Linked DNA regions of Macaca mulatta. The protein of the gene in region 1 interacts with the protein of each later gene in a biochemical or structural test. Links are inferred from orthologs where the notes say so. Each region holds a gene or a part of one and is shown on either strand. Other genes may lie near its edges.

Region 1 (3,500 bases):
CCCTCTGTCCCTCTAGAATGAGAGAGCTGGAGCCAAGTTAACCCCTGGGTCCTCCAGCCTCTGACTCACTCTGAGGCCACAAAGGCATGCTCCTTGATGGTTTGCAGGACATCTGAGAACTTGATCTTGGTGGTAAGGGTGTGCCCATGGTAAATAACTGGCATCCCATCTGGGCCGTCCCAGCAGTCCACTGGGGAGCAACATCATCATGGTCAAGCAGGCAGGCCTCCCATCTTCCCTCCCCCAGCCCCGGACCCCACGCACACTCAATGCAGCGACAGCCCATCCGCAGGCAGCGAGCATAGGCTTCCAAGGAGGACTCACTGGAGAACTGGTCCCCGGTCAGGTACCTGGATAGGCAAGGAGAGGCATGTATGGTCAGATAGGCCCTCCTGGGAAGAAGCTGGGTGGGCCCGAAGGAGCCACACTCACGTGTTGTGTGAGGAGGAGATCCAATAGTGGGAAAGGGGGTTGTTCATGGTGTCCGGGCATACTGCATCCAGCTGTGAGTTCCACACACTATTCTCTTTGGAGAACAGGAAGGTGACAAACTGTCCAGGAACATGTGGAAGGGAAGAGAAAGTGAGTCCCTGCCCGGTCCAACCCAAGATGGTAGGTTGGGGGTAGGAGAGAGAGTGCTCTGTCCCAACTGGGGGTGGGCAAGATGCATAGCAGGTAGGAACAAGGTGGCATCCCTAAGAAGCGTCTAGCTCCTGAAGCCCAGGTGGGGTTCTGGTCACCCCTACCCATTCTCTTGACAAAAAATGGGTGAAACGTCGGACTCACCTCATCCAGGAAGAAGTATGGCTCCTCGATCTCTCGCAAGGGGTCTCGGAGGAAGCTGAGCATGAACTCCTGCACCTGGAGGCGATCAACAGCCCACAGCTCCTGATGGGGTGGGGAGGGCAGGGAATGAGAGAAGCCTCCAGTCATTGATGAGCCCAGCCCCCCAACAACCTGACAGCCTGGGCCAATGTCAGCCCAGCCATACCCCCTGGTAGTCAAGAAGGAACTGCTGGAACTCAGGAAGGGACACTCGGCAAAGCTCCGGCCGCTCCCCAGCCCTGCAGGGAGAGAAGGTAAGCTAGCTAGCATGGTCAACAGACAACAAGGTGCCCCATGGAAGGCAGAACCCAACTCCCAGCCAGCACAGCTTCCCAGAATGGTCCAGCATGGTTCCCTACTCCCACTGCCTCCCACCTGGATCAGGAATCGCCCAGTGGTGAGATGAAGGGGGCCCAGGGAAAACCCCACCTCCCCACTCCAAACCAAACCTCAGAGTACTGGCTTCCAAGAAGGGGAGGTCCATCTGCAGGAAACAGAACCTGGTCAGGGCAAGAGCCCCTGGGAGGCCATGTGGGAAAGGGGCTAGTAAGAAGACAGGCTAGAGCAGCAGATGCGGGTAGGCCTCAAGAGGAGAAGAACTGGAGAAATGGCACCCAAAAGCCCCTAAGCAGGGCAGCAGGGCTGAGGCAGGCAGAGCTGGGGGGTGGGGTGGAGGAGCAGGGGCAGGGGTTGAGGGAGGGCAGGTGGCTCATGCACCGTCTTCTGGGCGCTGTACATGAGGCTGCGGTACAGCTGAGCAAACTGCCCGTAGGTGATGTCCCCGCTGCGCTGCTCCAGGTCCTGCATGGTATAGAGCGGGAGTGCCAGTCAGGCAGTCAGGGCCCCAGCTGCAGGGCTCTTGGCTTCCCCTGCCCCCAACTACAGACAGCCCTGGGGGGCACTTACCGTTAGCCGCTCTCGGAGGAAGCGCATGTTGGGGACCCGGTAGTTGACCTGGGACAGCATGTTCTTTAGGTCCTTGGCTGATATACTGAGAAAACAGGGACATCCCCAGTGGTCTCATCCAGCTTCTTATGACCTCTGACCTGTGGGTCGAGCCCACCTGGGGCTGGACAGGTAAACAACACTATTCTGGGAACCTGGAGTCCTGAGGGCGAGACTGGATCAGAACCCATGGGGTGACCAAGGTTAGTCCCTTCCTTTCTTTGGACCTCAGTTCCTCATCTGAGCAAAAAAAAAAAAAAAAAGCCTGTAATTCTGGCAAGGAAGATGTGAACAGATTCAGTAAAGTGGGTCAGGCATGGGAGGAAGAAAAACCACTCTCCAGGCCTCCCCTCCCACCGGCACTGCTCAGGCCTGTGCCAAGGTGGCAGTGAGCCCATCCAAGACAGAAGGCAGGGCTCACTCACAACTTCCCTGCTGGGGGCAGCACGGCAGCGGGTCCCTACCTGCTGCCCACTGGGATGCTGGGAGTTTGGTCCTCAGAACCCACTAACCCATGAAGGGGAGGGAGGAGGAGGTGCATGCTCCACCAGATACAATGACTGGCAACTGGGCACCTCCTGGGGCTAGACAGGGCCTGGCTCCAGGAAAGAAGCTCAGAGAACAAGGCCCCTGCTCTCCAGGGGTGTCCTGCCCATGATGTGAGGCTGGGGACACTGCTGGACCTGGCAACAGGATGGACGAGAAGGGGGAAGGGGGGCTTTCTCTCCTGGAAGGTGGTGTCAAGGAGGGGAGGGGAGGGTGGGGTCACCTCCTCTGAGCCCCAAGGGCCTGGGAGGAGGCACCAAAATTCCCCAAGGGGGCTGAGCGCCACACTGAGTGGATCAAGCGCTGCAGAGGGAGGGCTGGCTCTGTACAGGTGCCACCTCCTCTGATCCTCAGTCACCCAGGAGGTAGGTGCTATCAGGGTCCTCGTTTTCCAGTGAGGAAACAGAGGCCTTCTGGTTGCAACTGCCTGCATCACCAACCTTGCCCTCTGTGGTCTCTTTCCCATCAGCATACGAACAGCCTGTTACTTCTTCCACCAAAAACACGTGTCTTGCCCCTGCTTAGCTCTCCAAGTACTTGCCCTCTTCTTTGCTCCCCGCCACCGCAAAACTCCTTGCAAGAGTCATATTGCTCCCTCTCATTCCCGTGAGCCCCTCACCACTTGGCTGACACCGCTCTTCTCACCATGTTAAATCCAAGGGTCAATGGTCAGATTTCACCACTGTCTTCTTCCTTGGGCTGCCAGAACTCAGCACTCTGGGGGTTCTCCTCTTACCGCACTGTTTGTCCCCAACCCCTCCAATCTCTAATATGGGGGTGGTCTGAGGTCAGCCACTGGACCCTGCCCTTTTCTTGGTCTGCTTGCCCCCTAGGTGATCTCACCCAGCCCTGTGGCTTTCAGTGTTATCTACATACTCCCAAGTTAAAATCTGCAGCCCCCACTGTGTATGTACCTAAACTCAGTCTAACCACCTGCCTACTCAACAGCTCTCCCTGAACAGCTAACAGGCATCAGAAAACTTAACACGCCTCAAAGTGAACCCCTGAGCTTCCCTCCAAATGGGCTCGTCCCATGATCTTCTCATCTCAGTCAATGGCGACTCTGTTTTCCAGTTGTTCGAGCCAAAGAGCATACTATTATCCTCAATGCCTCTCAAACCCCAAAATCAATCTGTTAAGGACATTCTTTCTGGCTCTATCTTCAAAATACAACATGGCCAAAA
Region 2 (4,132 bases), on another chromosome or scaffold:
TTCATTCCCTCATGCTTTATCATTCACTGGCTCATTGACTAATGGATTTGTTAAAATTTTCATTTACTCTTGTATTCATTCAATCATGCTTTCTTCACTGACTGAAATTTGTCATTTAGCCGTTTATTCACTGTTCATTCATTCACTCATTCACTAATTTACTCAGTCATCCATCTACCTTTTCATTCATTTATCCACATACCCATTCACCTATGCATCTATCTACTTAGAGTTTTATCCTCCCATCAACTCATCCCTCCACTCAGCCATCTACCACCAATCCATCCACCCATCCATCGATCCACACATCCATGCACCCGCTCGTCCATCCACATACCCATCCATCTACCCATACATTCACCCACTTACGCACCCATCCAACTGCTCATTCCTCCATTCACTCTTCCACCTACCCACCCATCCATCCAGAGACACAGGGAAGAATCAGCACGCACCTCCTTGGTCTCCACCTGGGTGCGGGGGCAGGGGTGGAAGCCCTCCTCTTCTCTCTGGGAAGATAGAATGTGTAGAGAGCTATCACAACCCTGCCACAGGTTCCTGGGCTAGCCCCTTATTACCGCTACTTGCACTAGAGTTCTCACCTTCATTGGCTGGTGGTGGTGGTGGGAGTAGCTGGCGTCTGTCTGTGGATAGACAGATGGATTGGGAGCCAGGACCATGAGAGATAACTTTTCTAGTTCCCCATGCTTGCACTCACCTCTGCCCAACTTCCTTTCCTCCCCTGCGGCCTCCTCACCTCCACTTTGCCTCTGATTCCTTTTTTGTATCTTCTCCTGCACCAGGGCCCGGAAGGCCTGGGCCTCGCCCTCGTCTGCAAAGTTCAGCCCCGCTTGGCAGTCCTGCACATATCTTGGGGTCAGCCGCCTCCCAGGTCCCCCCACAGCTTTCCCATCTCCTCTCCACACCCCAAGTGAGGCCCGAGGGCTGGTTGGTCACTTACATCTCCAGCGAAGGTGTGGAAGAAGGGGGTGGGGGTGGAGTAGACAAGCTGTGAGTACAGCTCCTGTTCCCAGAGCAGCCGACCAGCCTGGAGAGGTGTAGGGTGGGAGGCACAGTGGCACTGAGGCACACCAGGGGTGGCAGGCCTTTGTTAGCTGGGCAGGGAGCAGGGTGTCTGGATTTGGGGGCCTCATGGTCTGGTTTGGAGATTTCCAGCTCAGCACCAGAGAGCTGAGATCTAAGGGTGTGGATGTGGAGTATAGTCTGGGAGCCATACACTTTTGTGAGAGGTTTGGATTTGGGGTTCGGGGCCCTAGATGTGGGACTTGGGAGCTTGAATTTCATAATTTAGGACTCTAGTCTTAGGAAGTTGAGGCTCATTCATAGATTCAATCCATGCCCTCCCCTGCCACCCCAGCCCCAATTCATGACAGGTAGGATTCTAGTATTTGGGAGTTGGAGATGAGATTTGAAGTTCAGACACGTAGACTTGGGAGTTTTGCGGAGGGTCCAGCTAAAGTAAGTGCAATTTGGGGTTTGTGGAGAAGAGTTATGACTTAGGAGTTTGGTGAATATTTGACAGTCTTGGGATCTGGAAGTTATGCTGGGTCCATCTTTATGGGTTTAGAAGGATGAATTTGGGGCTTAAACCTAGAAAGTTCAGGTCGGGGAATTGTGGAAAAGACTTTTTGCTTAAGAACCACCTCGGTATTTGAGTGTTCAGGAATTTTAATATGGGAATTCTGGGGTCTGTGCTGTGGATTTAAAAGGACAGAATTGGAGTTCAAGGATCAATGGAATATTCAACTTTGGGGTTTGTTGAACAGATTTATGACTTAGGAGCTTGGCAAACATCTGGGGTTCAGGAGTTTTGATGAGAGATTCCTGGGATGCAAAATGTTGAGTTTAGAATAGATTTGAGGTTCAGGTACAAATACAGTGCTCATTTATTGGAATTTGTGGAAAAGATTAGGCTTAGGCAGCAGACTAATACTGGGGGCTTTAGAGATCTTGATATGGAGACTGGGGCCAGCCATTGCAGACTTAGAAAGGCAAGCCAGAGTTTGCCATCTGGATGAGTCTTTGGTTCTGGGGCTCAGGGATTCACTGATCAGGTCTGAGGTCTTGGGACTGTGGACACATATGGACACAGATCTGGGTTTGCGGGTTGAGAACTGGCTTGCAAGTCCAGTCAGGGGCGGGGGGGGGGTCACCTGAAGGCCGTAAAGGCGAATGAAGTAGGACTTCTGGGGGTTATCCTTCACGAAGCACACAGCCCCACAATGCTCCTTGGTCCAGTGCTCAGCTCCAGGGGGCAGTGCCAGGTACAGCTGAACAACTGCAGTGGCCAGCGTCTGGGAGGGGAAAGCAGGGGTCAGTGGAGTCTGGTCAGGGGTAGCCACAAGGTCTTGGAGCCAGACCTGGTCCTTCCTGCCTCATGACAGTCATGGGCCCGAAGGAAGAGCTGCAGCCAGAGGGAAGGCAAGTAGACATTGAGATCTTCCTGGGGAGGGTGGATGATAACAGGAGAGTCTAGGAGAGAAGATGATGGAGAGGGAAAGGAGGAGCGGGAGGAGGGGAAGAGAGAGAAGGAGGAGAGGAAGAGGAAGAAATGGTGGGGACGGGGCGGGGGCAGGAGATCCCCAGCTCACCAAGCATTTTCGTCCAAGCATCTCGAAGAGTCGCTGGTTCTCGTGGTCCTGGAGGAGGGTGGAGGGTATGTTCTGTTGAACCGCTGGTGCTCCCCGGCCCCCAGGCCTTCCTCCCATTGGGCCCCCACTCATGGTGCTTTCTGCCCTCGTCTTCTCTGGCGAGGCTCTGGGTGCAGGGTAAGAAGAGGAACTTCCGCAGTGAGCAGCAAGGGAACAGGAAGTGCAAAAAACCACAAGGGACAAGGGAAACAAGTCCTCCAGGGGCCCCTTGGTGGGCCTGGCCTCCTCCTCGTTAGGCCGAGCTTGGGCCCTCTACCATCAGATTGGAACCCTCCTCCACTTGACTGCTTAGACCCATCTTTTGGATCAGCTTGGGTCCTCCTCCTCCTTTCTTACTGTCTGAGGCCCATCTCCTTCTGACTGGCTCAGACCCTCTTCCCTCTGGCTGGCAGTGAGAGCTTAGCCATTGGCAGCACATCTGTGTGCAGGGCACCCTGTGGCAAGGAGTAGTCATGGGCCTGGGTGGCCTCCTTCCTAAAGCACCCAGGTAGCCTGAGGCTGAAGCCCAAGGCCCCTAGTCCTGAAGGGTTACTACACTAAAACTTTTCCTTTTCGCTGGGGACAGTAGCTCACACCTGTAATCCCAGCACTTTGGGAGGCCAAGGCGAGCGGATCACTTGAGGTCAGGAGTTCGAGACCAGTCTGGGCAACATGGCAAAACCCCATTTCCACTAAAAAATACAAAAATGAGCCAGGCATGGCGGCATGCACCTGTAGTCCTAGCTGCTCAGGAGGCTGAGGTAGGAGAATCGCTTGAACCCGGGAAGCGGAGGTTGCAGTGAGCTGAGATTGCACCACTGCACTCCAGCCTGGATGATGACAGAGCAAGACTCTTGTCTCAAAAACAGCAACAACAACAGCAACAACACAACAACAAAAACCCTTTTCCTTTTAATTACAGAGTGAGCCCCTGTGATCCACGCCTATCCTGAGTGCTTAGACACTGCCAATGACGCATATGCCTCTGGTTCACTTCCCCATCCCTTACCCTTGCCTCCCTGCAGCTCCCAAATTACTTTCTGCTCATCTTTTTTTTTTTTTTTTTTTTTTTTTTGAGATGGAGTCTCACTCTGTCGCCAGGCTAGAGTGCACTGGCGCGATCTCAGCTCACTGCAACCTCAGCCTCCCAGGTTCAAGTGATTCTCCTGCCTCAGCCTCCTGAGTAACTGGGACTACAGGCCCGCGCCACCACGCCCAGCTAACTTTTTTGTAGTTTTAGTAGAGACAGGGTTTCACCATGTTGGCCAGGATGGTCTCGATTTCTTGACCTCATGATCCGCCCTCCTTGGCCTCCCAAAGTGCTGGGATTACAGGCATAAGCCACCGTGCCCAGCACATCCCTTTAAAAAAAAAAAAGGAACTTTATATCATATATGAATGCCTGAACAACATCTTGTTTAATTTTCATTGCACTTGAAGTTTGTAAAAGCACATAATCTTCAAAGGCTTGCTTTCTCCCC
Region 3 (4,034 bases), on another chromosome or scaffold:
TAGCCAGCACTTATTTGGCCTGGATGGTTCAGGATAATCACCTTGGAAAAAAAGATTTGCGTTCAGTGTAAATCCAAAGTCTCAAATGACTTTAGCCTCTGCAATAAGGTAGGAACATGTTACTTTAAAAATTGTTACCTGAGCAGTGAAGCCAGCTGCTTCCATTGGTGGGTCGTTTTTGCTGTCACCAGCAACGTTGCCACGACGAACATCCTTGACAGACACATTCTTGACATTGAAGCCCACATTGTCCCCAGGAAGAGCTTCACTCAAAGCTTCATGGTGCATTTCGACAGATTTTACTTCAGTTGTAACGTTGACTGGAGCAAAGGTGACCACCATACCGGGTTTGAGAACACCAGTCTCCACTCGGCCAACAGGAACAGTACCAATACCTAAAAATATTTACAGCATACTAAATACCTATGAAGGAAGATAGTACTCTACCAACTCAAATTCAACTTTGTTGACACCCAACTTACCACCAATTTTGTAGACATCCTGGAGAGGCAGGCGCAAGGGCTTGTCAGTTGGACGAGTTGGTGGTAGGATGCAGTCCAGAGCCTCAAGCAGCGTGGTTCCACTGGCATTGCCATCCTTACGGGTGACCTTCCATCCCTTGAACCAAGGCATCTGAAACACAACCATGCCAATTTGTGTAAGCATGAAATCGCCATTCCCAGAGCTTTTTAACAACGGTCTTGAAAGCCACTTACGTTAGCACTTGGCTCCAGCATGTTGTCACCATTCCAACCAGAAATTGGCACAAATGCTACTGTGTCGGGGTTGTAGCCAATTTTCTTAATGTAAGTGCTGACTTCCTTAACAATTTCCTCGTATCTCTTCTGGCTGTAGGGTGGCTCAGTGGAATCCATTTTGTTAACACCAACAATTAGTTGTTTCACACCCAGTGTGTAAGCCAGAAGAGCATGCTCTCGGGTCTGCCCATTCTTGGAGATACCAGCTTCAAATTCACCAACACCAGCAGCAACAATCAGGACAGCACAGTCAGCCTTTAAAGAAAGCAAAGACATATCCCTGTCAACTCTCCAAAGGACAAAACCAATGCACAAGACAGGCATTTCAGGGAAAAAAAAAAAAAAAAACAACCTAGAATTATTAATCCCACCAACCTGAGATGTCCCTGTAATCATGTTTTTGATGAAGTCTCTGTGTCCTGGGGCATCAATGATAGTCACATAATACTTGCTGGTCTCAAATTTCCACAAGGAGATATCAATGGTGATACCACGTTCCCGCTCAGCTTTCAGTTTATCCAAGACCCAGGCATACTTGAAGGAGCCCTTTCCCATCTGTAAGGATTAAGAGTTGTTACTTGGTTACTAACACACAAACTCCAGCTTCAATTTCTTTGCCCCCAGCCCTTAATTGGCACATAGTTTCCACTTTACAACTGCAAGTCCTAAGCAATTTTAGTCACTTAGATAGGGTTACAGAAGCAACCAAAAAGCAAACTTTTTAAAGTAGGATCTTGACTATTAATATCCAAATCGAAACTACTCACTAGCAATACGGTTACAGAAGTAACCAAAAGCAAACTATTTTAATAAGTAGGGTCAGATCTAAACCACTCACTAGTTCTGGGGAAATCACTACCACTTAATGATTCTGCTGGTAAAACTCATTTTAGTTCATCTTTCCCATACCTCAGCAGCCTCCTTCTCAAATTTTTCAATGGTTCTTTTGTCGATGCCACCGCATTTGTAGATCAGATGGCCAGTAGTGGTGGACTTGCCCGAATCTACGTGTCCAATGACGACAATGTTGATATGAGTCTTTTCCTTTCCCATTTTGGCTTTTAGGGGTAGTTTTCACGACACCTGAAATGGGAGAAAAAAACTTTGAACCACTGTCTGAAGCTTGAGAATAAGCCAAGATCCAAATTCGAAAAGGGCAAATTCCAAGGAGAATTACATCGAGCGCCAAGCTGGCCTAACTCTTCAGTCTCCACCCACCAAGTGTGGGGAAACTCCACCGCACAAAACCCCTCCCCCAAACCTAAGGAAGACGTACTCCAAAAGCTCGGAGAACTAATCGAGGTGCCTGGACGGCGCCCGGTACTCCGTGGGGTCACATGAAGCGGCGACCGAGGAGGGAAAGGCCCTTTTCCTTTGTGTGGGTGACTCACCCGCCCGCTCTCCCGGGCGCCGCGTCCTCCATTTTGAGCTCCCTGCGGCAGGGCCGGGAAGCGGCCATCTTTCCGCTCACGCAACTGGTGCCGACCGGGCCAGGCTTGCCGACCAGGGCGGGGCGACACACCGCCGCGCGAGGCCCGGCACCAGAGCAGGACGGCCAGCTTGAGACTCCCCCCGTCCGACTCTCGGTGGCCGCGCTCGCAGGCCCCGCCTCGCCGAACATGTGCGCTGGGACGCACGAGCCCCGTCGCAGCCCGCGGCCCCCAAAACCCCAATATCAGTGTGCAGATCCTGGTCCGCATTTATAAGATTATCTCGCCAGGAAAAAGGCGTTGCAGCTGGTCATCAAAAATTTTAAATGGCTAGAAACTTAGTGAAAGCAGCGGGGCAGGCGCGAAGGTGCTACCAGATTCGCACGCGGCAGCCCCAGAGCCCAAGCCAGGCCTCGACTCAAGCACGAGGCGAAGGGACTCCTTAAGTGCAAGGCCTCGACCTCTCCCACCCACTTCCAACCCGAAGCTCGGGATCAAGAATCACGTACAGCGGCCAGGGGCGTGTAAGTAATAAAAGGCACGCGAGGGCCATAGCCCGTAAAGAGGCCAGGCCCGCAGGAGCCACACACAGTACTTACCTGTGTTCTGGCGGCAAACCCGTTGCGAAAAAGAACGTTCACAGCGACTACTGCACTTATATACGGTTCTCCCCCACCCTCGGGAAAAGGGCGGAGCCAGTACACGACATCACTTTCCCAGTTTACCCCGCGCCACCTTCTCTAGGCACCGGTTCAATTGCCGACCCCTCCCCCCAACTTCTCGGGGACTGTGGGCGATGTGCGCTCTGCCCACTGACGGGCACCGGAGCCTCACGCATGCTCTTCTCCACCTTGGTGATGACGAGAGCGGGCGTGTGAGGGGGCGGGAACGCAGCGATCTCTGGGTTCTAGGTTAGTGGGAGTTTAACGACGGTCCCTGGGATTCCCCAAGGCAGGGGCGAGTCCTTTTGTATGAATTACTCTCAGCTCCGGCCGGGGCGGGGGGGGAAGAGGAGGGGGAGGGGGAGGCGACGAGGTGGCGGCCTGGAAGGGACGTCCAGAATCTTTCCTCTACCATTGCTAGCTTAGCCCCAAAGGTTGTGTTGAGATTAGGGTGTACCTTCGCCCCCCAATCAGCCTCCTGTCCTCAGCCTTGCTATCTCGCTAGTCCGTGACAAATCCCTAGAGCGTCGTCTTCTGCCGGTCTCAGCCCAGCCCCGGGTTGGCTCCTCCTCCGCCCCGGCTTCCGCGCCCCTCCCGCGTGGCAAGGAGTACCAGGCCCGGGGACCCCGAGGGGCTTGGGGCGAAGGGTCTGGACTGGAGGACTCCTTAACGGCTCACGGACCTGCGAGAGGTTCGGCTCGATGGCCGTGAGCTCGACGAATCCGCTCCTGTGCTGGCCTCTTGGCTCCTTCCATTCAAAGCCAGCTGCTTTTATCAAAGCCCGTAACACGTCATCTCCCCCTGGTACTCCAGATGTCCAGGCTTTCAGTTTAGAATAGACTCAGTCCTACAGTTAGCTTTAGATCTAATTCTAGTTTTGTTACGCCAAAAAGTTCCTGCGAGTGTGTGTGTGCCTCATGGTACTTTTTAAATTAAAAGGTGTACAGTCATTTGATTGCAAACATAAGGAAGCTAAAAAGCTTTCAAATTCAGATTTTCCACGTGATCTCATGTAGAGACTAAGATCTACAGCATCAGCAAGTTTATCCACCCAGTTTCCTAACCCCAACACTTGCTATGAAGTCACAGCTTCTCCTATTTAAATAAGTGCCTATTATATTTAAATAAGTGCTTTCTTTTTCTGTCATCCTATAGATTGTAACTGCATTTTAGCATAAATCTAG

Evidence for each region.
Region 2: the proteins of PLCG1 (region 1) and WAS form a complex in vitro, tested with the Homo sapiens proteins (2 studies listed by BioGRID). The link is inferred for Macaca mulatta from reciprocal best matches to the Homo sapiens genes PLCG1 and WAS.
Region 3: the proteins of PLCG1 (region 1) and EEF1A1 form a complex in vitro, tested with the Homo sapiens proteins (2 studies listed by BioGRID, with this or other methods). The link is inferred for Macaca mulatta from reciprocal best matches to the Homo sapiens genes PLCG1 and EEF1A1.

Annotation. Positions count from the first base shown.
Region 1 is NC_133415.1:94,025,340-94,028,839, reverse strand, and holds part of PLCG1 (1-phosphatidylinositol 4,5-bisphosphate phosphodiesterase gamma-1), read right to left. Parts: intron 1,817-3,500; coding exon 1,732-1,816; intron 1,627-1,731; coding exon 1,543-1,626; intron 1,310-1,542; coding exon 1,275-1,309; intron 1,065-1,274; coding exon 992-1,064; intron 889-991; coding exon 787-888; intron 552-786; coding exon 433-551; intron 351-432; coding exon 265-350; intron 191-264; coding exon 70-190; intron 1-69. UniProt on the Homo sapiens protein: Mediates the production of the second messenger molecules diacylglycerol (DAG) and inositol 1,4,5-trisphosphate (IP3). Plays an important role in the regulation of intracellular signaling cascades.
Region 2 is NC_133426.1:48,758,675-48,762,806, reverse strand, and holds the start of WAS (actin nucleation-promoting factor WAS), read right to left. Parts: upstream 2,801-4,132; 5' UTR 2,745-2,800; coding exon 2,613-2,744; intron 2,316-2,612; coding exon 2,175-2,315; intron 1,049-2,174; coding exon 962-1,048; intron 861-961; coding exon 758-860; intron 645-757; coding exon 603-644; intron 510-602; coding exon 456-509; intron 1-455. UniProt on the Homo sapiens protein: Effector protein for Rho-type GTPases that regulates actin filament reorganization via its interaction with the Arp2/3 complex. Important for efficient actin polymerization. Possible regulator of lymphocyte and platelet function.
Region 3 is NC_133409.1:112,151,325-112,155,358, reverse strand, and holds the start of EEF1A1 (elongation factor 1-alpha 1), read right to left. Parts: upstream 2,801-4,034; 5' UTR 2,788-2,800; exon of another isoform or gene 2,150-2,787; intron 1,842-2,149; 5' UTR 1,812-1,841; coding exon 1,668-1,811; intron 1,314-1,667; coding exon 1,134-1,313; intron 1,014-1,133; coding exon 717-1,013; intron 634-716; coding exon 483-633; intron 396-482; coding exon 139-395; intron 42-138; coding exon 1-41. UniProt on the Homo sapiens protein: Translation elongation factor that catalyzes the GTP-dependent binding of aminoacyl-tRNA (aa-tRNA) to the A-site of ribosomes during the elongation phase of protein synthesis.